4 linked regions of the Anolis sagrei genome follow. The protein of the gene in region 1 interacts with the protein of each later gene in a pairwise test. Links are inferred from orthologs where the notes say so. Each region holds a gene or a part of one and is shown on either strand. Other genes may lie near its edges. The genes, in order: MLX, MXD4, MNT and MXD1.

Region 1 (7,663 bases):
CTGTCGATTTGTTGTAAAACATAATGTTTTGTTGCTTAATTTGTAAAATCATAACATAATTTGAGGTTTTAATAGGCTTTTCCTTAATCCCTACTTATTGTCCAACATTTTCGCTTATCCAATGTTCTGCCGGCCTGGTTATGTTGGATAAGTGAGACTCTACTGTACAAAGAAATGTTGCAGTATATCCTTCCTAAAACAAATGCTTGTGTTAAGTTCTGGTATTTCTGCATTAGAAGACTGCTGTTCAGGGGGACCACACCCAGCCTTCCTGTTATGATATATATAAGTAGAAAACTAACCTCAACCCTTGTAAAAGATAACAACACAATGGAAAAGTGTGAGCCAAAATATCAATTTTCTTCTTCTTCAAATATCCCTATGTGGTCCAAATTGGGGTTTAACCTCAGAGCCCCCATTCATAGAATCTTTATTCATTTCTTCCAGGGTGAGGCAGCATAACTTCCTTTTTTAAAATGCGCGCCATTCAGTCGGTTGAAGACGTAGAGGAGTGCTAGTGGTCTCGTTTGAGAGGCGGGAGTATAAAGTTTTGTCCTGACACAGTTCAGTCGCACATCATGCGTTGGAACAGTGAGGAGCGTGCTTTTGCCATTGAGGCCTACTTTTCGAGCGGATTTGGAGTTGTCAGCCCGCTCTCCAGATTTGGCCCCTTGTGATTTTTTTCCTTGGGGAGTTTTTGAAATCCGGTGTTTATGTGAACCGTCCAAGGACCCTACAAGATTTGAAGACCAACATCCAGGAAGAAATTGCCAACATAACAACTGCTATAGGTGGTACTTAACCCCTTACAAAATGTCAAAATGTTATAAAAACACTTCAGACAAATGTTGGAAATGTGGGCAACAAACTGGAACATTTTTCCACATTTGGTGGACCTCTTCAAAAGCAAAAAAGTTTAGGACAGAGATCCATATGGAAATACAAAAAATACTAAATATATAAAAATAGAAAAAGAACCGGTCCCCCCCCCCCCCCCCCCCCGGAATTCCCTGCCTAGGGAAATCAGACAGGCTCCTACTTTGTCCTCTTTCTGGTGTCAACTAAAAAACTTGATATTCCGGTAAGCTTTCAATTAAACAGTCAACCTGTAACTTTTTCCTGCACTTTATGTTTGGCCCTCTTATCATCCACCTCAACACTTTGATGACACTATTCCTAGTCCTATCTACTTGATTGTTGCACTTTCCTTGCGCTCCTCTTCAGGATGTATTGCATGCAAGGCACCTAAACCTCAGCTATATTTTTTCTCAGCCATATTGTTTGATATTGCTTACAATTGTGTTTGTTTTTATATTTTACCTGATGTTTTTAAATGTGTGTTTTATTTGTAATTTTGGGGCTTGTCCTTTGTAAGCCGCCCCGAGTCTCCCTGGGGAGATGGTTGGCGGGGTATAAAAATAAAGTTATTATTATCTATATAAATAAAAATGTAATGTTCGTTTGTGGGATTAACAGAATTCAAAAACTACTGGATGAATTAACATGAAATTTAGACACTATACCCCTAACAGACCAACAAGTGATCACTCATAAATCACCATGCCCCCCCCCCAAAAAAACTGGAAAGGACTTAAAAAAAAACCCAAAAGCTAAATGACAATACAGAAAAAAGGAAGAGGGGGGGAAGGAAGGGGAGAAAGAAGGAAGGAAGGATAGAAAGAAAGAGGGAGGAAAAGAAATCTGGAGGGGGGAAGGAAAGAAAGAGGTAGAGAAGGAAGAAGGAGAGAAGAAAAAAAGGAAAAGGGAAGAGGGAATGAAGGAAGGAGGGAAAAAGGAGAGAAAGAGGTGGGAAGGAAAGAAAGAGGTAGAGAAGGAAGGATGGAAGCAAAAAGTGAAGGAAGGAAAGAGGTAGAGAAGGAAGAAAGGAGAGAAAGGAGAAGGAAAAGAACGGGGGGGTGAGGAAGGAAAGAGGGAGCGAAGGAAAGAAGGAAAGATGGAAGCAAAGAGTGAAGGAAGGAAAGAAAGAGGTAGAGAAGGAAGAAAGGAGAGAAGGAAAGAGGGAGTGAAGGAAGTAGAGAAAGAGAGAGGGAAAGAAAGAATGAAAGAGAGAAGGAAGCATGGAAGCAAAGAGCGAAAGAAGGAAGAAAAGAGGTAGAGAAGGAAGGAAGGAGAGAAAGAGGGAGGGAAAGAAAACGGGAGGGGGAAAGGAAAGAAAGAGGTAGGGAAGGAGAGAGGGAAAGGAAAAGAAGGAAAGAGGGAGGGGAGGAAAGACAGAAGGAAGAATGGAAGCAAAAAAACAAAAGAAGGAAAGAGGTAGAGAAGGAAGGAAGGAGAGAAAGAGAGAGGAAAAGAAAACGGGAGGGGGAAAGGAAAGAAAGAGGTAGGGAAGGAGAGAGGGAAAGGAAAAGGAGGAAAGGAAGGAAAGAGGGAGGGAAGGAAAGACAGAAGGAAGAATGGAAGCAAAAAAACAAAGGAAGGAAAGAGGTAGAGAAGAAAGGAGAGGAAGAGGGGGGGAGAAAAAGGGAGGAAGGAAAGAGGGAGCAAAGGAAGGAGGGAAAGGAGAGAAAGAGGGAGGGAAGGTTGGCCACAGCAATGCGTGGCGGGTACAGCTAGTTATTATTATTATTATTATTAAAAATGGCAACACAAATGGCTGCCAGCCAAATGTAGGCGCAGCAGCTGCTGCTTAAACATCTCCTCAAAACAGGTGAATTGTTTATACTTAAGATTTAATTAAACCCTTTGTAAATCTAAACATAACACAAAGAGGAAGCCCCTCTCTCACGCACTGGCCTAAGGTTAGTTTAGCAGACGGAATGGTGCCAAAGCTGAGGTTTGAAGAGACATTCTTCGTATGCTCAGAGGCTACTTTACATTTCTTCGCCCGAAAGGACAAGGAAGTCCCTGACCTCCACAGGCCTGCGATGCACTTCGAGACCCAGGCCCAGCCCCTCCCAGCTCCACTCACTTTTCCTACCCAAGCATTTTCCGAAGAGACGCTGGACGGTTCCGCCATCTTCCCACAGCTAGGCCACAATGTCACGTGTCCTCCTGGCACTGGCCAATCAGGGCTGGGGGGAGGGTCCTCCCGGAAGAGTCGCGTCGAACTGCAGAGGTTTTTGGGAAAGGTAGTTTTTCCTCTTCTGCCGGACAAATCCTGCAGCCACCTGCTTGTCTTCAACGTCATTTCCTGTTTACTATTGCAATACACCATCCCCAGACCGGAAGTGAGAGTTATCCTGAAAAATTAATGGAGAGGGACAGAAATTGCAGTCACTACGGCTGAATCTAAGCTGCCCTGTAATCCATCTTCAGAATGTGGATAAACTGCATTGATCTGGATTGTAGGCCAGTATAGATTACTATAATCCGATTCAATTTAGTTAATCCACATTCTGAATCTGGATTATAGGCCAGTGAAGATCCAGCCTTTGTCCCCTTTACTACAAGATCCCTCAGCATTTGTTTAATAATATCTTTAGTAAACCACCAATTTTATTTATTAGGAAACCACACAAAGAGTAAGCACAAAATTCATTTCATATTATTATTTATTTATTTATTTATTTACCTTACTTATATACCGCTGTTCTCAGCCCGAAGGCGACTCACAGCAGTTCACAACAAATATGAACAGCAAAAATTCAGTGTTACAGTATAGAAACAGTTAACAACCTAACACATTACACAATTAATAAACAGTTACTACAATACCCATTCACTATCGTCTCGTCATCAAAAACATGTTCCAGATTCGTCATCCATTGTTCCATTCCAGTGTTCATTAACCAATCATTCCACTAATTATTCGAACACCTGCTCAAACAGCCAGGTCTTCACCTTTTTTGTGGAATACCATTAGAGATGGTGCTAGTCTAATGTCCGTAGGAAGGGCGTTCCACAGCCGAGGAGCCACCACCGAGAAGGCCCTATCTCTCGTACCCGCCAGCTGAGCTTGAGAAACAGGCGGGATCGAGAGCAGGGTCTCCCCGGAAGATCTCAAAGTCATATATTTATATCCTGCCCATCACCACCCAAGCAGGGAGCTTTGAGATGGTTGAACAGAAGCTCTCTGAAGCTCTAGGTGCTCTTACTGCCTATTACAGGGAAAACCAGCTGATCCCCAACCCATCCAAAACACAGACATGTGCCTTTCACCTTAAGAACAGACAAGCACCCCAAACTCTGAGGATTGCCCAGGAAGGAATCCCACTGGAGCATTGCAGCACACCCAAATACCTGGGAGTCACTCTGGACCGTGCCCTGACCTACAAGAAGCACTGCCTGAATATCAAGTAAAAAGTGGGTGCTAGAAACAATATCATACGAAAGCTGACTGGCACAACCTGGGGATCACAACCAGATACAGTGAAGACCTCTGCCCTTGTGCTATGCTACTCTGCTGCTGAGTATGCATGCCCAGTGTGGAACTCATTACACCACACTAAAACAGTGGATGTGGCTCTTAATGAGACATGCCGCATTATCACGGGGTGTCTGCGCCCTACACCACTGGAGAAATTACACTGTCTAGCCGGTATCACACCACCAGACATCCGCTGGGAAGAAGCAGCCAATAGTGAAAGGACCAAGGCAGAGACATCTCCAGCTCATCCCCTGTTTGGGTATCAGCCAGCACGTCAACGACTTAAATCTAGACATAGTTTTCTAAGATCTACAGAGACGCTCGCTGGAACACCTCAGCAAGCGAGATTTCAAAAGTGGCAGGCTCAAACCCAGCACCTCAATCTGTGGGTGATACCAGATGAGAGACTCCCCCCTGGGCACACAGAAGACTGGGCGACTTGGAAGGCGCTGAACAGACTGCGCTCTGGCACCACGAAATGCAGAGCCAATCTTAAGAAATGGGGCTACAAAGTTGAATCCACGACATGCGAGTGTGGAGAAGAGCAAACCACTGACCACCTGCTGCAATGCAACCTGAGCCCTGCCACATGCACGATGGAGGACCTTCTTGCGGCAACACCAGAGGCACTCCAAGTGGCCAGATACTGGTCAAAGGACATTTAATCAGCTACCAAGTTTGCAAAATTTGTGTGTTTTTTTTATCTGTTTTTTTGTTTTGTTCTGTTAGAAATGTAATACAGTGTTCTGGTTGTGGATGACACATACATAATAAAATAAAAAATAAAAAAAATACCAGGGTGGGACAAAGGACTCTTGTCTGCTGGAGCTAGGTGTGAATGTTTCAGCTGACCACCTTGATTAGCATTTGATGACCTGGCAGTGCCTGGGGCAATCTTTTGTTGAGAGGTGATTCGATGTGCCTGATTGTTTCCTCTCTGTTGTTTTGCTGTTTTTAATTTTAGAGTTTTTTTTTATGGGAAATCTCTTTTGGCACCTCTCACTTCTAATCTGGAGAGAGGTTTAATTGTAGGCATTGTCAAACTGCGGGCCTCCAATTCCAAAACCATTTTGTTCTATGGTCAGGAATTCTGAGAGTTAGAGGTCCAATCAACGAGAGGACAGAAGTTTGAGGCTGCCTGCTTATGACACCGGAAGTCTGCCGAGAGCGGCATTCTAACCTTTTATAAGTTTAGGGGAATACACCGGAAGTAAGGCGTAATGCGTGCGACGCTCTTACGCTAAGGGACGCACGGAGGGGAGAACCGGAAGCGCGTCTGGTTAGCGGTGGGGGCGGCGGCGTGTTGCCATGGCGGACCCTGTAGAGGAGCTTGCCAAACTCGAGTACCTCTCGCTCGTCTCCAAAGTCTGTACGGAGCTCGACAACCACCTGGGCATCAACGACAAGGACCTAGGTGGGTGCCTGGGTGGCGGGGAGGGACGGGCCCCCATTTTGCGCACCTCCCGGAGCTGGGGAGCCTTCCCTGCCACCTCCTTGTGTCCCTCATCGAGCAGCAGAGCTTCTGTACCAGAATTCCTCAACTTCTGCCCATCCAAGTTGTTTGGACTTCAGTTCCCAGAATCCCTCCTCGTTGACCAAGGCAGCTGAGGCTTCTGGGAGTTGAAGTCCAAAGTCCTGAGAATCTCTGGAAGGCATCCTTGTTCTTATACCAGGCATGGGCAAACTTCGGCTCTCTAGGTGTTTTGGATTTCAACTCCCACACTTCCTAACAGCCGTTGTGGGAGTTGAAGTCCAAAACACCCGGAGGGCCTAAGTTTGCCCATGTATTTATTTGTCGTGTCAGGGCAACCAGTCAATTGTATTATATTTCTAACAGAGCAAAACAAACAGTCAAAACACAAAATTTGCAAGCTTAGTAGTTTAGTAGTAGTAATTTTTATTGATTAGCCCTTAGGCCATATCACAATAAGAAACAGAACAACAAGGCCTGACAAGACCTGATCACACTCCACGTAGAAAGTTAAAATAAGACACTTATAATAATACAGTAAATACATATGATAAGACATGATAAAACTGATAAACTGATCAAGCTGAGTGTATACATCATATTTCATTATCACCCCTACAATTTACCCCAATCAGCCCTACATATGTGGTTCTCAGACGTATTGTTTTGCTTAAGTACAGAGCTGTTTTATACGTTATTTTTGGGTCTTGGCCACACATAAAATATGTTGTTCTGATGTGAGAATCCCAATACATTGTCCGTTTGATATATGGACCAAGGTGGAAGTCTCTCACCTTTTGATACAATTTGCAATCAAACAATGTGTGTGCTATATCCTCAGTTTCGGGTGCCCCGCAGATACAACTCCGTTCATTATAAGGGATGCTGTTAAATCTCCCGTATCTAACCATTGTCTCGAGCTGATCAAATCTGGCTCGCGTGAATACCTCCCTGAGATGTTTTGGTATTTGCATTTTTAGATAATTAGCAGTTTGAAAGGTGAAGTTTAGTAGTTGATTAAATGTCCTTTGACCAATATCTGGCCACTTGGAGTGCTTCTGCTGTTGCTGCAAGAAGGTCCTCCATTGTGCATGTGGCAGGGCTCAGGTTGCATTGCAGCAGGTGGTCAGTGGTTTGCTCTTCTCCACACTCGCATGTCGTGGATTCAACTTTGTAGCCCCATTTCTGAAGGTTGGCTCTGCATCTCGTGGTGCCAGAGCACAGTCTGTTCAGCGCCTTCCAAGTTGCCCAGTCTTCTGTGTACCCAGGGGGGAGCCTTTCATTTGGTATCAGCCATTGGTTAAGGTTCTGGGTTTGAGCCTGCCACTTTTGGACTCTTGCTTGCTGAGGTGTTCCAGCGAGTGTCTCTGTAGATCAGTGGTTCTCAACCTTCCTAATGCCATGACCCCTTAATACAATCCCTCCTGTTGTGGCGACCCCCAACCATAACATTGTTTTTGTTGCTACTTCATAACAGTCATTTTCCTACAGTTATAAATCATAATGTAAATATCCGATATGCAAGATGAATTTTCATTCACTGGACCAAACTGGGCACAAATACCCAATGCACCCACATGTAAATGCTAGTGGGGTTGGGGGAGGATTGGTTTTGTAATTTGGGAGTTGTAGTTGCTGGGATTTATAGTTCACCTATAATCAAAGAGCATTCTGAACTGCACCAGCGATGGATTTGAACCTAATTTGCCACACAGAACTCCCATGACCAACGGAAAACACTGGAAAGGTTTGGTGGGTATTGACCTTGAGTTTGGGAGTTGTAGTTCACCTATGTCCAGAGAGCACTGTGGACTCGTGCAATGGTTGATCTGGACCAAACTTGGCACAAACACTCAATATGCGAA
Region 2 (7,255 bases), on another chromosome or scaffold:
TTCTGGAGGATTAGCGATCCCTCCAGAAGCAAAACAGTCTGGAACTCCAATTTTCAAAACACCCCCAACAAGAAACAATTCAACAAACAGCAAATCTTCCACATTAGCAGAAAATGTTACTTTTTTTGAATAAACATGAGGACCCTTCCACACAGCTGTATAACATTTAACTAGATTATATTGCAGTGTGGACTCAGATAATCCAGTTCAAAGCAGATATTGTGGTTATCTGCCCTCTGAGTCACATAGCTGTGTGGAACGTCCGTACAATAATTTCGATCCAAAGGCTGCCTTCTGTTTACAAATATGATGCAAGTGGTTTTCACTTGATCTCCACATGACTATTTGTAGTGGTACACATAGCATCCTTGAAGTCTCTCTGAGTCCTCAAAATAAAGTTCTAGGCCCCTTTCTACACTGCCATATAAAATCCAGATTATCTGCTTTGAACTGGATTATACAGAAGTCTAGACTCATATAATCCGGTTCAAAGCAGTAACGTGGATTATAAACTCTGGCCCCTTCCACACAGCTGTATGAAATCCCATATTACCTGCTTTGAACTGGGATATATGGCAGTGTGGACTCTAACCCTTTCCCACAGCCCTATATCTCAGAATATCAAGACAGAAAATCCCACATTATCTGAGTGTGGACTCAGGTAACCCAGTTCAAAACAGATATTGTGGAATTTCCTGCCTTGATATTCTGGGATATAGGGCTGTGGGGAAGGGCCCTGGGTTATCTGAGTCCACACTGGGATTTTTTTACCTTGATTTTCTGGGATATAAGGCTGTGTGGAAGGGCTCTGGACTGCCCTATAATGCAGTTTCCGTATACAGTTGAACTGCATTGAACTGCATTATACAGGGTGAGGCAGCATAACTTCTTTTTAAAATGCGCGCCATTCAGTCAGTTGAAGACGTAGAGGAGCGCTAGTGGTCTCGTTTGAGAGGCGGGAGTATAAGTTTTGTCCTGACACATTTCAGTTGCCATCATGCGTTGGAACAGTGAGGAGCATGCTTTTGCCGTTGAGGCCTACTTTTCGAGCGGATTTGGAGTGGCTGGCCCGCTCTCCAGATTTGGCCCCTTGTGATTTTTTTCTATGGGTTTTTTTTTAATCCCGTGTTTCTGTGAACCGTCCAAGGACCCTACAAGATTTGAAGACCAACATCCAGGAAGAAATTGCCAACATAACACCTGCTTTACTGGCAAGAGTCAGGACAAATGCCAGAAATCGGTTTACTCAGTGTATGGAGAATGGGGGACGTCACCTACCTAATTTGATCTTCAAAACTACGTAAAACAAAACTTTAGATATATGCCTACATTATAAAAAAAATATTTCTGATTCATACAATGGGTTCTATTAAGTTTTGAAAAAAGGAAGTTATTCTGCCTCACCCTGTATGAGTCTGGACTGCAATATCTGTTTTGAAATGAGTTATCTGAGTAAGCACTGCCATATATTCCAATTCAAATTAGATAATGTGGGATTTTATTTAGCTGAGTGGAAGGGGCCTCAGGTAAACCAGTTCAAAGCAGGTACCATGGGATGTTCTGCCTTGATATTCTGGTTTACATGGCTGTGTGGAAGGGCCCTTTGATAATCTGTATTATATGGCAGCGTGGAAAGGGCGACCTTCTGCTTAAACTTAACTGGGATGTTTTTGATGAGCAGGAATCCCACTGCACGAGTGACGAGGCTGCCCTCAGGAAGCCGGCTCGCCCTTCCCGGAAAACGATTCCCTGCCCTTTGGGTCCTGCGAAGGACAAAGAGCAGGCAGGCTGTTCTTACCACGGGACCCGCTCCTAAGCGAAGCGACAGGGCAGTCACCGCGAAGGCAGCCCGAAGGGAAACACAACGGCGGTGTCTGTTGCTACTAGTTGCTTAGCAACTGGGGGAAAGCAACGGGAATGTGACTTTGGGGGGCTTCTGAAATATCGCGTGGCTTCAGAAGACGCGCCTTTGCACAATGTTTACAGCGTCGAGGTCTCGATTGGCTGGTCTCCATGGTAACGGCGCACGACTGTCGCGTGGAACTGACTTGTTCGGCCAATGGGAAAAGAGATCCTTGCTTCCGGAAGCCTTTGTGCTGAAGGATGCCTGCCTTTCCCTCTTCCTTTCCTCCCTCATACTGATACTATTTTATATTTCTATAGGGCCCTAGAAAATGACATTTGTAACCCAGGAACAAGAAACGTGTTAAATGGGCCCCTTCTATACTGCTGTATTAAATCCAGATTATCTTTCAACTGGATTATATAGCGGTGTAGACTCATAATCCATTTCAAAGCAGATGTGAATTATCTGCCATAGTGTTATATATATAGACTAGCCATGCCCTGCCACACGTTGCTGTGGCCCAGTCTGTGTATATGTGTTTTGTGTGCGTATATAGAATCTTAGAATCATAGAGTTGGAAGAGACCTCATGGGCCATCCAGTCCAACCCCCTGCCAAGAAGCAGGAATGTCGCATTCAAATCACCCCTGACAGATGGCCATCCAGCCTCTGTTTAAAAGCTTCCAAAGAAGGAGCCTCCACCACACTCCAGGGCAGAGAGTTCCACTGCTGAACTGCTCTCACAGGAAGTTCTTCCTCATGTTCAGATGGAATCTCCTTTATTGTAGCTTGAAGCCAGAACAGAAAACAGAATGTTGGGAGACAGGAAAAGAGATTTAAAGATGGGCTCAAAGCCAACCTTAAAATCTCTGGCATAGACACGGAGAACTGGGAAGCCCTGGCCCTTGAGGGCTCCAGCTGGAGGTCAGCTGTGACCAGCAGTGCTGCAGAATTTGAAGAGGCACGAATGGAGAGTGAAAGAGAGAAATGTACCAGGAGGAAGGCGCGTCAAGCCAGCCCCAACCAAGACCGCCTTCCACCTGGAAACCAATGCCCTCACTGTGGGAGAAGATGCAGGTCAAGAATAGGGCTCCACAGCCACCTACGGATCCACAAGAATACTGATTATGAAAGGCTATCCTACTCGTCCAATGAGGGATCGCCTAAGTAAGTAAAGTGTAGGTAAAGGTAGTCCCCTGACATTAAGTCCAGTCATGTCTGACTCTGGGTGTGGTGCTCATCTCAATTTCTAAGCCGAAGAGCCAGCGTTGTCCATAGACACCTCCAAGGTCATGTGGCCGGCATGACTGCATGGAGCGCCGTTACCTTCCCGCCAGAGCAGTACCTATTGATCTACTCACATTTGCATGTTTTCAAACTGCTAGGTTGGCAGAAGCTAGGGCTGACAGCAGAAGCTTATGCCGTTCCCCAGAATCGAACCTGCGACCTTTCGATCAACAAGCTCAGCAGCTCAGTGCTTTAACCCACTGCGCCACCGGGGACTCCAAAGTAAAGTGTATCTAGGAATAATAAGAATTGGAACAGACCAAGCTGAAAACGCTGACAAGAGCCACTCTTTGGGCCCTTCCAGACAGGCTCTATATCCCAGGATCTGACTTTGTTTATCCCAGATTATTTGACAGTGCGGACTCATAAAGCAGAATACCTGGGATCGGAATCCTGTGATATAGGGCCTGTCTGGAAGAGCCCTGGGAGATTTTTATATATATCATATCCGTGGGCCTGTATTGGGCTGCATTGTAAAATAAATTAACTTGCCTTTACCACCTTAATAACACTGGGATACGGAAACATGCTACCACATCACCGTAATAGACGCTAGCAACGCAGTTCTTAGTTTACAAATAACTCTTCTATGTCCTGTTATGAAGCAAAGTGGCTTATTCTCAAGGAAGGCGAATCAGCCTTTCCTGCGAGCTCAAGATTGGCTTCGCCCCCGTCGCGAATCACGCGCTCCTCCCTCAGAGCATCCCTTTTATGCGAGCGAGCCTTATTTGCATAGACCCGGCGCGTCCAATCACGCGCCACTGCCTCCTTTGCATGGAGCCAGCCGGCCAGTCAGGGAAGTCGGGGCTGGGCCCTCACGTGCTGTTGCTAAGCCCTCGCTTCGAAGTTGTTGCCTTCGTGGCCAGCCAATCAGAGGGTGGGACTCCAGAACTGTCAACATTCTCTCAGCCTCAACACCCTGGGCTTGTACCTGATTGGTTCTGTCAGGCTCAGGAGCTCGCACGGCATGTTATTAACTGGCTGGGGCAGCTGCCCATCAACCTGACAGCCATGGCACCGAAGACTTGATTTGTTGAGAGAGACTTTGCAAGGCCCGTTGCTCTCGCGAACTCTTTAAGTTTTCCCCCTGCGGCTTGCCGTTCCTGAGGGAGAGCTCTCCGGCCCCTGGGAAGATGGAGTGGAATTCCTTGCTGATGCTGCTGGAAGCCGCGGAATACTTGGAAAGGAGGGAAAGAGGTGAATATCTGCCTGGCGTTGAAGGGTCTTCTGTGCCAGCCTTGCAGGCCCTCCCTCCCTCTCCACTCGTCCCTTCCCTCCTGTTTGGTGTTGTTTTGTGGGAATAATAGGGCGTTTATTGGGTGTTTGGCTCTTCCTTCCCTCACAGAAGCGGAGCACGGCTACGCCTCGGTCTTGCCTTTCGAAAGCGACCACCCCGCAAGGAAAACGAAGTTCGGAAAATCCCCCAACAACCGGTAAGGCCCCGTTCCCTGTGTGTGTGGGGAGGAGGGGGGAGGAGAAGGCGGGGGCTGGGCCTGAGGCCGGCCCCGCGGGCCCCTCGCCGCCATCTTGCCCCCCGCGAGCCAGTCTGGGGGCGGGACTTCCGGGGAGCGGTGCCACGCGCGCAGGAGCCGCTTCCTGCCCAGCCCTGCTTTCCCAACCCCGGCTGGTGTTTGTGCGGCCAACGCTGCCTCTTCAACTCTACATGAGGTTTCTTTAGCTCAGGCCTGGGCAAACCTCGGCCCTCTGGGTGTTTTGGACTTCAACTCCCACAATTCCTAACAGCCGGTAGGCTGTTAGGAATTGTGGGAGTTGAAGTCCAAAACACCCGGAGGGCCGAGGTTTGCCCAGGCCTGCTTTAGCTTAGTGTTGGAGCCACGAAAACATTTGGACCTTAACGCCACCTAGTGGCTGATTTAAACATTTACGCCCATCTGTTGCTCAATGTTTACAGTCTACTCTGCAGATGATGCTTCCCAGAAAACGAGAAAACCAGGCTTCCACATGCTGATATATTTTCAGTAAATATTTAATCTTTCTGTTAGGGAAAACTACAGTAATAGTATGATAGCTGGGTCTGGAAGTTCCAAGCATTACCCAGCTATCATACCACAGGGTGAGGCAGCATAACTTCCTTTTTTCAAAACTTAATAAAACCCATTGTATGAATCACAAATATATTATTGTTTTTTTAAAAATATGCGTGCATACCTAAAGTTTTGTTTTACGAAGTTTTGAAGATCAAATTAGGTAGGTGACGTCCCCCATTCTCCATACACTGAGTAAACCAATTTCTGGCGTTTGTCATGACACTTGCAGACGCTATGTTGGCAATTATACAGGGTGAGGCAGCATAACTTTCTTTTTTCAAAACTCAATAAAACCCATTGTATGAATCAGATTTTTTTTTTACAATGTAAACACACCTAAAGTTTTGTTTTACGTAGTTTTGAAGATCAAATTAGGTAGGTGACGTCCCCCATTCTCCATTCTCCATACACTGAGTAAACCGATTTCTGGCGTTTGTCATGACTCTTGCCAGCATAGCAGGCGTTATGTTGGCAATTTCTTCCTGGATGTTAGTCTTCAACTCTTGTAGGGTCCTTGGACGGTTCACATAAACAGGGGATTTAAAAAAAAAATCACAAGGGGCCAAATCTGGAGAGCGGGCCAGCCACTCCATATCCGCTCGAAAAGTAGGCCTCAATGGCAAAAGCACGCTCCTCACTGTTCCAACGCATGATGGTGACTGAACTGTGTCAAGACAAAACTTTATACTCCCGCCTCTCAAACAAGAATACTAAAAGTTGAGCATTCAGCTCATTAGCGAGCAGTGCATGAAGTGCAATGTGATGTGGCTGTAAAGAATTAAGAGCTTAGGCAGGCAAAGATGCAGAGTCCAATCTTTTAAAAAAAATCACAAAAGGTTTATTTACAATAATAAGAAATAACTGCATTTCTTAATAATCAAGAACTGGGTCTGATCTACTCCAACACCCATCTCGTCTAAGGTTTTAAAAGAGGGGGGAAACAGCAAGCACAACATCTCTCCTGACAGGCATGCACAGAGTGATCTCAAAGCACACAGCACATATTCCTATGTAAGAAAAATTAAAGTAAAAAAATTCCTGTAGAAAAGTATCCATTCTACACAACCAATCAGAATGAGAGCAAAAACAGAGGAGAGAAAAACAGATAAATTCCCAACTTCCATAAAGGAGACATGGGGGAAGGGAAACCCTCAGACTATTCTAATGCTAAGTAACATCTCTTCATTGAGGACTTGGGCAGTGTGGGGTTGATTTCCAACACTTTCTACCTGTTTTACATAATTATCTGCCCAGGGTCCCCTGCAGATGCCTCAGGTAGAATCCAGACTGACAAAGTTTTGGAACACAATACACCAGACATCATGATTGTGGAAAAGAAAGAAGTGTAGATGATGTTGCCATACCAGGTGACAGTCGCATTGAGGAAAAACAGCAGGAAAAACTCAGCCATTATCAGGACCTCAAAATCAATCTGCAACGGCTCTGGCATAAACCAGTACAGGAGGTCCCAATGGTCATTGGCACACTGGGTGCCATTCCAAAAGATCTCAGCCGGCATTTGGAAACAATAAACACTGACAAAATCACAATCTGTCAACTGCAAAAGGCCACCTTACTTGGATTTGTGCACATCATTCGAAAATACATCACACAGTCCTAGACGCTTGAGTTTGACTTGTGATTTTGTGATACGAAATCCAGCATATATATCTCGTTTGCTATGACATATTGTGTTTTTGTGTCAGTAAAATAATACTTTATTTGTACCCTGCTCTATCTCAGGGTGGTTTCCCACAAAAGTAACAAAACAGCAGACATTCGATGCCAAAATCAGACAATAATAAATCTAAACAGTGGACAAAACACAATCTCAAAATAAAGCTTACAAAACTATATTTAAAAATAATACATAATTGAACGTCACACACAATTTCCATAGGCTGAAGTAGGTGTCCAATATCTAGGCATGGATATATATAAAGGTGTGCTAGTCTTCCTCCTCTCAATATGCTAAGGTGCATAAATGAGTTTTTAAAACCTTTTTAAAGGAGAAGAGAGAAGAAAAAAAGCTTTCTAAGCTGATTTCTCAATGGAGGGGTCAGCATTGTGACTGT
Region 3 (7,112 bases), on another chromosome or scaffold:
CTGGTCCAGCGAGCGGCAGCCAGGCTGCTCACTGGGGCGACATACAGAGAGCATACCACCCCTCTGCTGTGTCAGCTCCACTGGCTGCCGGTTCAGTTCCGAGCCCAATTCAAGGTGCTGGTCTTGACCTACAAAACCCTGTACGGTTCCGGTCCAGCGTATCTGTCCGAACATATCTCCCTCTACATCCCACCACAGAATTTAAGATCATCTGAGGGGGCCCTGCTCTCGACTCCACCGCTTTCCCAAGCAAGGCTGGTGGGGACGAGGAGCAGGGCCTTCTTAGTGGTGGCCCCCCACCTGTGGAACTCACTCCCAGTGGATATCAGGGCATCGACATCACTCCTGTCCTTTAGGAGAAAGGCAAAGACGTGGTTGTGGGACCAGGCCTTCGGGCAATCTGCTAACTAGATAGGACAACCAGGCAATTAGGACCGGCAGGACTGATATATGTGGACTGATAAATGTGGAAGAAAACTCTGAACCATGAGATAGCGAACACTGACTGGCAAGAAGGAAGAAGCGGTTTGTATCGGTTTGTATGAAATTTTATTGGTTTTATTGGTTTTAACGGGTTTAGATGCAATGTATTGTTGTTGTTGTTGTTTGCTAATTTGTTATTTTGTTTTATTGCTTATTATTGATGTATGCTATGGGCATCGAATTGTGCCTTGGATGTGTAAGCCGCCCTGAGTCCCCTTCGGGGTGAGAAGGGCGGGGTAAAAGTAAACCAAATAAATAAATAAATCCAAGTCAGGTGGCCTTTTGCAGTTGACAGATCATGATTTTGTTGATGTTTATTGTTTCCAAATGCCGGCTGAGATCTTTTGGCACGGCACCCAGTGCGCCAATGACCACTGGGACCACCTGTACTGGTGTATGTCAGAGCCTTTGCAGTTCGATTTTGAGGTCTTGATAACGGCTGAGTTTCTCCTGTTGTTTTTCCTCAATGCGGCTATCACCCGGTATGGCAACATCAATAATCCAAACTTTTTTCTTTTCCACTATTGTGATGTCTGACGTGTTGCGTTCCAAAATTTTGTCAGTCTGGATTCAAAAGTCCCACAGTATTTTTGCATGTTCATTTTCCACGACCTTTGAAAGTTTATGATCCCACCAATTCTTGACTGCTGGCAGGTGGTCCTTGTGACATAAGTTCCAGTGAATCATCTGGACCACAGAGTTGTGCCTCTGCTTGCAGTCCATCTGTGCGATTTTCTTGCAGCAGCTGAGGAGATGGTCCATGGTTTCATCTGCTTCCTTGCACAGTCTGCATTTTTCGATCCTCAACTTAATGGCATTGGTTCTGATGGCTTGCTCCTCAGCTGCAAGAATCAGGCCTTCTGTCTCCTTCTTCAGGGTTCCATTTGTAAGCCATCACCAGGTCTTCTCCTTATTAACTTTTCCTTCAATTTTGTCAAGAAACTGCCCATGTAAGGCTTTGTTGTGCCAGCTGTCAGTTCTGGTTTGGAGTGCAGTTTTCTTGTACTGACTCTTTGTCTGCTGTGCTTTAAGAAGTTTCCGATTATTGACTTCAATTAAAGCAAGCTCTTGGTTTTCCTTGACATATTCTACCAGGGCATCGTGTTTTTCTTCTTCAACGGCTTGCTTTACTTGTAAAAGTCCTCTGCCCGCAGATAGAGCCAGTCAACATCACTGCGATGATATAGTGAATTATGAATGGTCATGAGTTTTCTTGTTTTTCTGTCCAAATTGTCCAGTTCTGCCTGCGTCCAGTTTATAATGCCAGCAGTATATCTTATGACAGTATGGCCCTTACTACTCTTGTAGCGAATATTATTACTATTATCGTCATTGTGCTTAGTACAATTACAATTGCAATTCTTATTGTAAATATTTTTCAATTATTGTTGCAATTATTATTGAAATGCTTATAGTAATTGTTGCAAGTGTTATTGTAATTATTACTGCAATTCTTATTATTGTAATTCTTACTGTAAATATTGCAATTCTTATTCTGGTAATTATTGCAATTCTTATTGTAATTATTATTGCAATTCTTATTATTGGAATTATTATTGCAATTCTTATTGGAATTCTTATTATTATTGCAATTCTTATTGGAATTATTACTGCAATTCTTATTGTAATTATTGTAATTATTACTATTGTGCTTATTTTATTAGTTATGTAGATTATTTTTGCAATTATAACGGCAAATGTGATTACTAGTTTTCTTTCCCAAATTCTCTCCAGCAATCCGGATTCGACTTGCCTTTTTTTCCTGCAAAGGCAATTGGGATCTGGACTGTTTTGCCTGTGATCTCATCTGACGCCACAGGAGGCAACCCACACTCAACAAAAACCGCCTTTCCTGTTTTGCTGCACACATTCCTTCCCCCCCCCCCCGTCCTTATCACGCATTCCGGATTCACGTGTTTACTCCTTCCCCCCTCCCTCCGGAAATAGGGCGCGGCTCCTTTAAGGAAGGGAAATAGGGCGCGGCCCCTTTAAGAGCGCCTGCTGCCTCCTGACTTCCCACCCGGCCATGACTAGACAGATTGTCCCAGATGGCTCCACCCTTGCCTCGCGCGAGGCGAGTGGGCGGGGCACGATTCAAGCCCCGCCTCCCACTCAGCACGCTCTGGGGAAGGAAGGCGGGGCTTGAAGGGCTTCATGCAAATGAGGTCTCAGTTCCTACAATAAGATAAGACCTGCGTCCTACTCAGCACGCTCTGGGGAAAGAGGGCGTGGCTTGAGGGGCTTCATGCAAATGAGGCAGCACTTCCTCAAATCAGTAGGGGGGAGAGGCGCGTGGGCGGAGCATAAGACAAGCCCTGCTTCCTACTCAGCACACACTGAAGGAAAGGGCGGGGCTTGAGGGTGCTTCATGCAAACGAGATAGCATTTCCTCAAATCAGTAGAGGGAAGAGGGAGCGGCGGGTGGGCGGGGCATAAGGCAAGCATGCTCTGAGGGAAAGAGGGCGGGGCTTGAGGGCACTTCATGCAAATGAGATAGCATTTCCTCAAATCAGTAGAGGGAAGAGGCGGGTGGGCGGAGCATAAGATAAACCCAGCGTCTGAGGAAAAGAGGGCGTGGCTTGAGGGGCTTCATGCAAATGAGACCGCTCTTCCTCAAATCAGCAGGGGGAATAGAGCGAGGTGGGCGGGGCATAAGACAAGCCCCGCCTCCCACTCGCCACGCTCTGGGGGGAATTTATTTATCGTGTCATCAGCAACCATTGTATTACAATTCTAACAGAGCAAAACAAACACAGAGATTAAAAAGAAAAGGAAAAAGAAGAAAGAAAGAAAAAAAAAAACCATACAGATTTTGCAAATTTGGTATTTGGTTAAATGTCCTTTGACCAGTATCTGGCCACTTGGAGTGCCTCTGGGGTTGCCGCAAGAAGGTCCTCCATCGGCAGGGCTTGAGGGTGCTAGCACTTCCTCCAATCAGCAGGGGGAGGGGCGCAAGGAGAGTGGGCGGAGCATAAGGTAAGCCCTGAGTCTGAGTGGAAAAGAGGGCGTGGCTTGAGGGAGCTTCATGCAGATGAGGCCGCACTTCCTCCAATCAGCAGGGGGAAGAACGCGAGGCGGTTGGGCGGGGCATTAGACAAGCACGCGCTGAGTGGAAAAGGGTGCAGCTTGAAAAGAGGGCGTAGCACTTCCTCCAATCAGCAGGGGAGGGGCCAAGGAGAGTGGGCGGAGCATAAGATAAGCCCTGCGTCTGATGAAAAGAGGGCGTGGCTTGAGGGGCTTCATGCAAATAAGGCTGCACTTCCGCCAATCAGGATTGGAAAGAGCACGAGGCGGTTGGGCGGAGCATAAGACAAGCACGCGCTGAGGAAAAAAGGGCGTGGCTTGAGGGGCTTCATGCAAATGAGGCCGCACTTCCTCCAATCAGCAGGGGGAAGAGCGCGAGGCGGTTGGGCGGAGCACAAGCCTGAGTGGAAAAGAGGGCGCTTCATGCAAATGAGAGAGCACTTCCTCCAATCAGCAGGGGGAAGAGCGCAAGGAGAGTGGACGGAGCATAAAATAAGCCCTGCGTCTGAGAGGAAAAGAAGAAAAAAAGGGCGTGGCTTGAGGGGGCTTCATGCAAATAAGCCCACACCTTCCTCCAATCAGCAGGGGGAGAGGCGCAAGGAGAGTGGGCAGAGCACATCAGCCCTGCGTCTGATGAAAAGAGGGCGTGGCTTGAGAGGCTTCATGCAAATGAGGCTGCACTTCCGCCAATCAGGATTGGAAAGAGCGCGAGGCGGTTGGGCGGAGCACAAGACAAGCACGCGCTGAGGAAAAGAGGGCGTGGCTTGAGAGGCTTCATGCAAATGAGGCCGCATTTCCGCCAATCAGGAGGGGGAAGAGCGCGAGGCGGTTGGGCGGAGCACAAGACAAGCACGCGCTGAGGAAAAGAGGGCGTGGCTTGAGGCGCTTCAAGCCAAGGAGGCCGCATTTCCTCACACCAGCAGGGGGAGGAGCTAAGCCTTGCCTCACACTCCTCACACTTGAGGAGGGAAAGCGGGCGGGGCTTGAGGGGCTTCATGCAAATAAGGCCAGAAGGACGAAGCGAAGGAGGAGGAGCCTAAGCAGCGAAGTAAGTAGAACAAAAGAAGGCAAGGGAAGGGAAGAGAACCAGGGCGCGACTTGAGGTGTCCTGTCCCTTTAAGAGAGGCGCCGGCGGGGGCCCGCGGCGGAGAGTGCCCATGTGGAGCTGCTCCATGCCTTGTTGTCCTGTCACGCCATTGGCCAGGGAGCGGGTGACGTCATTGAGCAGCACGCGGACGCAGTGCGGGGGGGAGGATCGGGGGCAAAACCCGGAGGTGGAACTCCCCGGAATGGGTGATTTAAACCAAAGCGACGGGAGGTGAGGAAACAGCGGCGCGAGGCGACACATTGAACCAATTGGATCAGCCTCATGTGTTGCCTGAGTGAGCGCTCAAAGCATCAACGGCTGGCGCGGCTCGAATTCCATTAAGAGAGGAGTCCAGTCCGGGTTTTGCTTCCCCCCGCGGGGATAGTAGCAGAGGGCCGTGTCTCTCCCTCTCTCTCTCTCTCTCTCTTGTTGTGTTTCTGTTACGCATCGCCATCTTGTTACAAAGCCTTCTTCTGGTCGGGTGGGAGGGGGCCGCGGAAACGGGGGCCGGAAGGGGCCAAAAAGGCTTGGCTTCAGCCCGGATTGGTGTGCTCTCTCCCCTCCAGAAGAACCACAACAGCAGCAGCAGCAGCAATAGGGACCCTCTTTGGCAGAACAAGCCAAGCCCTTCTTTGCACATTCGAGACAGAGAGATATACCTATCTATCTATATATTTATATATTTTTCCTTATATATATATATTTTGGGATCCTCAGACTGCCCCCACCCTCCTGCTCCTGCTCCTCCTTTTGGGACTCCCACCCCGAGAAATGAGCATTGAGACCTTGCTAGAAGCGGCCCGGTTCCTGGAATGGCAAGCGCAGCAACAACAGAAAGCACGTGGTAAGTGGAGTCACTCCGGAGTCAACCCGGATCAGATGCGGGGGGAGGGGTTGCACCTCTTTTTTCCCTTCTGCCTAAATGGGGAGCACTTCTCCACCTTCTCCCCCAATCTCATTATTATTATATTGTTCAAATTGGATTGGGAGAGAGAGAGAAAGAGCTTTGGGGGAGTCCCATGACGTCATCACTTGCAAATGCCATTCCCACCCTTGTCTGATGGTGATGAATGCCTAATTAATCACATTGCAAAACAGGGGCTGGATGGCCATCTGTCAGGGGTGATTTGAATGCAATATTCCTGCTTCTTGGCAGAATGGGGTTGGACTGGATGGCCCACCAGGTCTCTTCCAACTCTAAGATTCTATGATCTAATTAATAAGACTCATATGACTGTATTGTCAGTTTCTTTGGAATGCCTCCCCTCCCCTCTATCTTCATTTCAATTGGCTGTCAGCACAATAATAACCATAATAGGGATATTCATATTATATTATAATATTATTATTGTAAGTCTTGCCACTCTTTATTATTATACTATATTATTATGCAGTTTCTCATGTCACTCCTGACACACACAAAATATATTAATATCAGCATAACAATAACTATCATAGGCATTGAAGGGATATTCATAAATAATATATTATCTATTAATATCTATTTAATGTGACTAATATTAGCAGTTTCTTTGTCAGCACAGTAATAAACATAATAGGGATGTTAATATTATTATATTATATTATTATTGTTAGGATATTATTATTGTAAGTCTTGCTATTCTTTATTATTATATTATGATGCAGTTTTTCACGTCGCTCCACGTAACAATAACTATCATAGGCATTGAAGGGATATTCATAATAATATATTAATATCTATTTAATGTGACTAATATTAGCAGTTTCTTTGGAATGCCTCCCCTCCCCTCTATCTTCTATTCAGTTTGCTGTCAGCACAATAATAAGCATAATAGGGATATTTATATTATATTATTAGGATAATATTATGTTATATTATTATATTATTAATAAAGATTTATTATTATATTATTATTAGGATATTGTTATTTTATTATATTATTATTAATAAGGATTTATTATATTATTATTATTATGATATTGTTTTTATGTAATATATTATTATTAATAAGGATTTAATATTCTATTATTATACAGTTTCTCAAGTCACTCCTGACACACAAAAAATATATTAATATCAGCATTACAATAACCCTCATAGGCATTGAAGGGATATTCATAATAATATATTATCTATTAAAATCTATTTAATGTGACTAATATTAGCAGTTTCTTTGCAATGCCCCCCTCCCCGCTATCTTCATTTCAATTGGCTGTCAGCATAATATTAACCATCATAGGAAGTGAAGGGATATTGATAATAGATTATTATTATATTAATTATTATAGTGTTCATAATTGTATATTATATTAATATTGTTAATATACCGTAGTAATATATTAATATATCATATTAAAAAAAATTATTTACGGCATGGATATGCCTCCCTTCTCACCCCGAAGGGGACTCAAGAGTGGCCTACAAAATATATTTGCATACAATATATTATATTATTAGCATAGTACAATATCAGTATTGTATATTACTATATTACACAATCCATTATATTGTAATATTATTAGTAATATTACATCT
Region 4 (7,408 bases), on another chromosome or scaffold:
AAATCCCGTGTTTATGTGAACCGTCCAAGGACCCTACAAGATTTGAAGACCAACATCCAGGAAGAAATTGCCAACATAACGCCTGCTATGCTGGCAAGAGTCATAACAAACGGCAGAAATCAGTTTACTCAGTGTATGGAGAATGGGAGACGTCACCTACCTAATTTGATCTTCAAAACTACATAAAACAACACTTTTATAATGCGCCTACATTAAAAAAAATTTAAAATTCTGATTCATACAATGGGTTTTATTAAGTTTTGAAAAAAGGAAGTTATGCTGCCTCACCCTGTATAAAATAATAATTGTTCGTTCGTTCGTTTCCGACTCTTCATGACTTCGTGGACCATAAGAATAATATAATAACGCTAACTCAGGGATGGCCTGTGTGCATGTATTAATACTAATGATATAATAAAATACAAATACTAATTATAATATAAGATTCCCCTCTCTTCCTGTTGTCTCAACCCTGTTCTTCACTGGTGAGTCCTTTGCAAGTTGGATATTTTACCTTGGGATGGCCTGCATTGTGTCCTTCCGCCTCTAATTTGAGGGAGGCGTGATCCAGATTAAACTCGCCAGCTTGGTTTCCTGTGACCTAGAATAGCAATGGGAGATATGCCTCCCACTCACCAGGAGATGGAGGGAGAAAGAGTGAGAGAGTCCTGAAACCAATCCGGAGCCAAGCTGGTGGAGCCTCCAAAGAGCACAAAACCCTGTAGAAGGGGTTTCAGGGTGTTCCTGTTTCCTGGCGTTTGCTTATTGAGAAGCGGTTTGAAAACTTATTAAAAGAAAGGTGGGCCCAAACTCGCCAAGGGCTTTCTGGATGCCATCACTGCTTTATTTATGTTTTGATGTATAATGCCACAAAATTCTCAAGTTGTGAGAGACCCGGCCACCTCCCACTCGAGGCCAGCCCCCTTATGAGGTGGTTCCTTTGTAATGGCCAGTATGGCCTAATACAGGAGAGGCCAAGCAGAAAGGGGGCGCACGATCCCAAGGGAGTGCCCGCCTGCCAGCCTGTGTTCCTTCACTGCAGCCAATCTTTGTGGGCTGCTTAATGTTGGCCCAGTTCACCTGTCCGAACGTATTCTCTCCTATGAACCATCAAGATTGTTAAGATCTTCTGGTGAGGCCCTGCTCTCGGTCCCGACATCTTCGCAGGCGCATCTGGTGGGGACGAGAGACAGGGCCTTTTCTGTGGTGGCCCCTCGGCTATGGAATTCCCTCCCAAATGAAATTAGATCTGCCCCCTCCCTCCTAACCTTTAGGAAGATAGTGAAAACCTGGCTGTGCAACAAAGCTTTTGCGGAATGATGTCTGAAACCGGCAATCGACTAACGGTACTGATCACAATATATGGACTGGACATACGGACTGAGTTGGACACGATTTTATCCTGGCAAACGGATTTTATGTAATTTTATGTAATGTAATTGGTAACTTAATGTTGTGTATTATGTTTTAGATTTTCAGTGTTAACATTGAATCTTTGCTGTTAGCCGGCCTGAGTCACTCTGCAGAGGTAGAGAAGATCGGGGTATTAAAGTTTTAAATAAATAATGTATATATATAAAATTGCTCTGTGCATAATGAGTACCTTAAAAACAAAAGAACCAATGAATGAAATCACACCAAATTTGGCAACAAAACGTCTCACAACACAAGGAGTGACCATCACTCAAAAAATTATGATTTTGTCATTTGGGAGTTGTTGTTGCTGGGATTTATAGTTCACCTACAATCAAAGAGCATTTTGAACTCCATCAACAATGGAATTGAACCAAACTTGACACACAGAACTCCCATGACCAACAGAAAATACTGGAAGGGTTTGGTGGGCATTAATCTTGAGTTTGGGAGTTGTAGTTCACCTACATCCAGAGAGCACTGTGAACTCAAACAATGATGGATCTGGACCAAACTTGACACAAGCACTCAATACGCCCAAATATGAACACAGATGGAGTTTGGAGGAAATAGACCTTGACATTTGGGAGTTGTAGTCACTAGGATTAACAGTTCACATACAATCAAAGAGCATTCATCTCCTTCTATGAACCGGCATGAACTCTTAAGATCTTCCGGGGAGACGCTCCTCTCGGTCCCACTACTGTCTGAAGCGCGGTTGGTGGGGAAGAGAGAGAGGGCCTTCTCAGTGGTGCCACCCCATCTCTGGAACTCCCTTCCAAGGGAAATAAGACAGGCCCCAAAAGTTCTGATGTGAGAGGTGGCATGTAAAGGATTATAGGGTAAGTGCAGTGTGCAGCAATCTCAATTCTAATAAAGTGCTTCTGGACTTGTTATTGGAGTTTTTCTATTCTGGAAAGGCACATCGGAACAGCCAGGTCTTCAAGTTCTTTCTAAAGACTGCCAATGTAGGGGCCTGTCTAAGATCTTTTGGGGTGGTGTTCCAGAGTCGGGGGGCCACCACAGGAAAGGCCCTGTCTCGCGTGCCCACCAATCACGAGCAGGGCCTCTCTGGATGAACGAAGTGAACGCGTGGGTTCATAAACGGAGATGTGGTCACACAGGTAGGATGGTCCCAAACTGTTCAGGGCTTTGTAGGTAAGCACTTGCACCTTAAATTGGGCTCGGAAAATAAACGGCAGCCAGTGGAGCTCCTTAAACAGGAGGGTTGACCTCTCTCTTAATGCAGCTGACACTCAGCCAGCTGCGCCACAATCCCAGTGCGCATTTTGTTTTTTTAATCTTATAGTTTTATGCATATTTTGTTTTTTTAATCTTATAGTTATGTTGTTTTTACTTTATTTGTTCTGCGATTTTTATCTGGGAACCACTCGGGGAGATAGAGCGGTATATAAATAAAGTTTTATTATTATTATTCTGAACCCCACGAACGACAGAATCGGGGCAAACTTCCCATACAGAACCTCCATGACCAACAGAAAATACTGAAGGCCATTCAATCCAACTCCCTTCATCAGGGCAAGAAAATGTAATCAAAGCCCTCCTGCCATAGATATAGATAGATATGATTCACACACAGAGAGAGATAGTATCCTAGATTTGAAAGGGATTCCTAAAGAAGGACAATGATACGTTGCATGTTCCATAGTAGGCAAACCAGACAGTCTCCACATCAACACTGACAAACAGCAAGAAATACTGTTTACCCACAAGCATAGAGACATTACATATATTAGAAACCAACACTTTCTCATTACTATATTTTCCAGATCAACAGACTGGGCCACAGCAACGCGTGGCAGGGGACGGCTAGTAAATAATAATTATTATTATTATTATTGTCGAAGGCTTTCATGGCCGGAATCCATGGGTTGTTGTAGGTTTTTCTGGGCTATATGGCCATGTTCTGGAGGCAATTTTTCTCCTGACGTTTCGCCTGCATCTATGGCAAGCATCCTCAGAGGTAATGAGGTCTGTTGGAACTAGGAAAAATGGGTTTATATATCTGTGGAATGACCAGGGTGAGACAAAGGACTTGTTTGCTGGGGCTAGCTGTGAATGTTTCAACTGATCACCTTGATTTGTATTCAATGGCTTGGAAGCGCCTGGGGGGAATCTTTTGTTGAGAGTGATTTCATGTGCCTGTTTGTTTCCCCTCTGTTGTTTTGCTGCTGTAATTTTTGAGTTTTTTAATACTGGATACATTCACAGCTAGCCCCAGCAAACAAAAGTCCTTTGTCTCACCCTAGTCATTCCACAGATATATAAACCCATTTTTCCTAGTTCCAACAGACCTCACTACCTCTGAGGATGCTTGCCATAGATGCAGGCGAAACGTCAAGAGAAAATGCCTCTAGAACATGGCCATATAGCCTGGAAAAACCTACAACAACCCAATAATAATAATGTCAGGCAGGCCTTGTCTGTTGCCTTTTTGCAATAGAGTCCCCGAATCCCCTGGCAGTTCCCTTCTTTGCTTCCTTGGCCCAGGCCCAGTTCCATTTCAGATCCGCTCCGGCAGCCGAGCGCTGATTGGTCCGCCAAACTGGCAGGAACACGTGGACAGCGGGCGAGGCGGAAGGCAGAACAGCAGGAACAAGCAGTGGGCGTGGCCTGAATCAGGAAAAAACCCTGACAAGAAAAAAAAGCTTCGGTCGAGCCAATCAGCGCTTGCCTTTGAAAACTCCCGACCAATGGGAGTCCGGGATTAATAGGAAGGCGGAGTGTGCGTGCGTCCACAAGCACTTGGGGGAGTGGGCGGGGCTAGAAAAGCCTTTTAACACCAAGAAACAAACAACATGGGCCCGACGGAGGAAGGCGGCCAATGGGAGCCGAGTTCCGCGAACAGGGGAGGGGCGGAGCGACTCGTGGCAGCGCGTTTCCTCCAATCAGCGAAAACATGACAGGCTCCACGCAACCAAGCCTGCCCCCCGCCGCAGCCAAAGCCGCAGGCCCCGCCCCCTTGGGGGCGGGGCCTGCGGCTTTGGCTGCGGCCGGGGGCAGGCTTGGTTGCGTGGAGCCTGTCAGGCTGAAGGGAGGTAAACACTCTCTCCGAGGAAGGAAGGAAGGAAGATGGCGACCGCCGCCCAGGTGCGCGAGAACATCCGGATGCTGCTGGAGGCGGCGGAGTTCCTGGAGAGGAGGGAGAGGGGTAGGTAGGCCTGTTGTTGTTGTGCTTGGCCCGGGCCCGCTTCGGCCCTCACTCCTGGCGTTTGGGACTACAACTCCCACAATTCCTCACAGCCTACCGGGCCAGACCTGCTCCCCACGAAATCAGCCTCACAATAGGGTAGAAAGGGACCCCCAGGGGCCACCAAGAGCCGCCCAGGCCAACGCCAGGCAGGAAAGTAGAATTACTAGAGTATTATTATTATTCCTTGAAGGAGCTGGGGGTGGTGACGACTGACAGGGAGCTCTGGCGTGGGCTGGTTCATAAAGTCAGGAAGAGTCGGAAACGGCTGAACGAATGAACAACATTATTATTAGTATTCCTCGAAGGAGCTGGGGGTGGTGACGACTGACAGGGAGCTCTGGCATGGGCTGGTTCATGAAGTCAGGAAGAGTCGGAAATGACTGAACGAATGAACAACAACAGCATTATTATTATTATTATTATTATTGGGTTGTTGTACAATACATTATTCGACAATACATTATTATTGTTATTATTCCTTGAAGGAGCTGGGGGTGGTGACGACTGATAGGGAGCTCTGGCATGGGCTGGTTCATGGAGTCAGGAAGAGTCGGAAACGACTGAACGACTGAACAACAACATTATTATTGTTATTATTATTCCTTGAAGGAGCTGGGGGTGGTGACAACTGACAGGGAGCTCTGGCATGGGCTGGTTCATGAAGGTCACAAAGAGTCGGAAACGACTGAACAACATTATTGTTGTTGTTATTATTCCTTGAAGGAGCTGGGGGTGGTGACGACTGACAGGGAGCTCTGGCGTGGGCTGGTTCATGAGGTCACAACTGAACGAATGAACAACAACAACATTATTATTATTATTACTACTACTACTACTGTAGCATAATTATTATTCCCAGGCAGGAAAGGCAGCGCCCGATCCCTCCCGACAGATGGCCACCCAGCCATAGATGTGGTAGATCGAAAGTTATTTCACGTATATTAGAAATATCCTAATCCTAGAGTGGAAAGAGCCGCCCAGGCCAACACCCAGGCATCGTCATCATCGAATCCCAGAGTTGGAAGGGACCCCAAAGGCCACCCAGCCCAACCTCTTTTACTCTGTTGAGCCCTCCTGACAGATGGTCACCCTGCCTCTGCTACATCATCATCATTATTACAGTTGGAAGGGACCCCAAAGGCCACTCAGCCCAACCTCCTTTACTCATCATCATCATCATAATTTAATTACTTATTAATCGCCCTCCATCCAAGATGCTCTAGGCGATTTACAAGCTAAAATTGAAAAAGGATAAAAATACTCTACTGAGCCCTCCTGACAGATGGTCACCCTGCCTCTGCTACATCATCACCATTATTACAGTTGGAAGGGATCAATTTAAACATACAATAATAAACATGAGATACAATAACAAGCTTAGAAGTAATTCAAATAGTTAATTAATGTGTGTGTGGGGGGGGGGGTGTTAATTCATCCCTGCCCCTTTCCCTCCCTCTGTGTTCTGTGGCCCGTGGGATTGAGCCCTTTGCAACTCCTTCCCCTGAAATACAGGCCTCACTACGTGCCTTGCAGGAGGAGGATTCACACTCAGCTCTCCAGATCAGAAAGGACCTGGCACTTGCTTTGAGGCATTTGCTTTGACATTTGGAGGAGTTCCCTTCCTTGCCTTCCTTCTTTCCTCCCACAGATTGTTATGAGGGGTCTTTTGTATGTGTGTGTGTGTTGGGGGGGGGGGGGCTCTACCGCTCGCAGCCTCCCCCCTCCCCCTCCTCTTCCTCCCCCTCCTCCTCTGCCATTTGCAAATACAAAGCCATGTTGGCCTGCTGATGCAGTCTCAAAGAAACAAGGGCTCCAGGATGGAGCTTTGTGGTGCCTTTAAGCCCAGTGGGTTCATGTGGTTTCAGCACTGTGTTTTTCATGGATTCAGAGCTGCTTCATGGTGGTGCTGAAATAAACCCGTTTTGGGAGCGCACCAAAGATCTGGTTTCTCTCTTTCTCCTCCTCCTCTCCCTTTCTCAGTAGGTTTCCTTTCTTTGTGGTGGTGGTGGTGGAGGAGGAGGAGGAAAGAAAGACCTGTTTTCTTGACGTGATTTTCCCTCCCTCCTTCTCGCCCAGTCGCCTTGGCCAGGGAGCGAAAGGTAGAGAAGATGCGCTGCTTGACTCCCTCCCCCCCCCCCCTTTCCTTATTGTTTGCTTGGGCCTTATTTATGGAGTCTTTGGGTTTTTGTCCCCCCCTGCCGCCCAAGACTCAAAACATTTCCAGTTGCCAGGCCCCATTAGGGCAGACCTATTAAATGAATATTATTATTATTATTATTATTATTATTATTATTATTATTTTACTGACACAAAAGCACAGTATGTCACAGCAAACGAGATCTATATGCTGGATTTCGTATCACAAAATCACAAGTTGAACATTTCCCAAGCGTCTAGGACTGTGTGTTGTATTTATTACTAGCCGTCCCCTGCCACGCATTGCTGTGGCCCACATGGGGATTCTGTGTGGGAGGTTTGGCCCAATTCTGTTGTTGGTGCGGTTCAGAATGCTCTGTGATTGTAGGTGAACTATAAATCCCAGCAACTACAATTCCCAAATGTCAAGATTCTGTTTTCCCCAAACCACCAGTGTTCACATTTTGGGCATATTGAGTATTCGTGTAGAGTTTGGTCCAAATCCATCATTGTTTGAGTCCATAGTGATCTCTGGATGTAGGTGAACTACAACTCCAAAACCAAAGGACACTGCCCACCAAACTCTTCCAGTATTTTCTGTTGGTCATGGGAGAACGATGTGCCAAGTTTGGTTCAATTCCATCG

Evidence for each region.
Region 2: the proteins of MLX (region 1) and MXD4 interact in a two-hybrid assay, tested with the Homo sapiens proteins (2 studies listed by BioGRID). The link is inferred for Anolis sagrei from reciprocal best matches to the Homo sapiens genes MLX and MXD4.
Region 3: the proteins of MLX (region 1) and MNT interact in a two-hybrid assay, tested with the Homo sapiens proteins (2 studies listed by BioGRID and IntAct). The link is inferred for Anolis sagrei from reciprocal best matches to the Homo sapiens genes MLX and MNT.
Region 4: the proteins of MLX (region 1) and MXD1 interact in a two-hybrid assay, tested with the Homo sapiens proteins (2 studies listed by BioGRID and IntAct). The link is inferred for Anolis sagrei from reciprocal best matches to the Homo sapiens genes MLX and MXD1.

The regions. Positions count from the first base shown.
Region 1 is NC_090026.1:51,084,789-51,092,451, forward strand, and holds the start of MLX (max-like protein X), read right to left. Parts: upstream 3,023-7,663; 5' UTR 2,978-3,022; coding exon 2,930-2,977; intron 1-2,929. Other genes in the region: ATP-dependent RNA helicase DHX8, read left to right, coding at 5,636-5,741. UniProt on the Homo sapiens protein: Transcription regulator. Forms a sequence-specific DNA-binding protein complex with MAD1, MAD4, MNT, WBSCR14 and MLXIP which recognizes the core sequence 5'-CACGTG-3'. The TCFL4-MAD1, TCFL4-MAD4, TCFL4-WBSCR14 complexes are transcriptional repressors.
Region 2 is NC_090023.1:142,409,352-142,416,606, forward strand, and holds the start of MXD4 (max dimerization protein 4), read left to right. Parts: upstream 1-4,244; 5' UTR 4,245-4,265; coding exon 4,266-4,329; intron 4,330-4,477; coding exon 4,478-4,565; intron 4,566-7,255. UniProt on the Homo sapiens protein: Transcriptional repressor. Binds with MAX to form a sequence-specific DNA-binding protein complex which recognizes the core sequence 5'-CAC[GA]TG-3'.
Region 3 is NC_090031.1:25,878,607-25,885,718, reverse strand, and holds the start of MNT (max-binding protein MNT), read left to right. Parts: upstream 1-4,090; 5' UTR 4,091-4,555; intron 4,556-4,566; exon of another isoform or gene 4,567-4,825; intron 4,826-5,311; 5' UTR 5,312-5,365; coding exon 5,366-5,438; intron 5,439-7,112. UniProt on the Homo sapiens protein: Binds DNA as a heterodimer with MAX and represses transcription. Binds to the canonical E box sequence 5'-CACGTG-3' and, with higher affinity, to 5'-CACGCG-3'.
Region 4 is NC_090027.1:24,782,038-24,789,445, reverse strand, and holds the start of MXD1 (max dimerization protein 1), read left to right. Parts: upstream 1-4,407; 5' UTR 4,408-4,506; coding exon 4,507-4,585; intron 4,586-7,408. UniProt on the Homo sapiens protein: Component of a transcriptional repressor complex together with MAX. In complex with MAX binds to the core DNA sequence 5'-CAC[GA]TG-3'. Antagonizes MYC transcriptional activity by competing with MYC for MAX binding.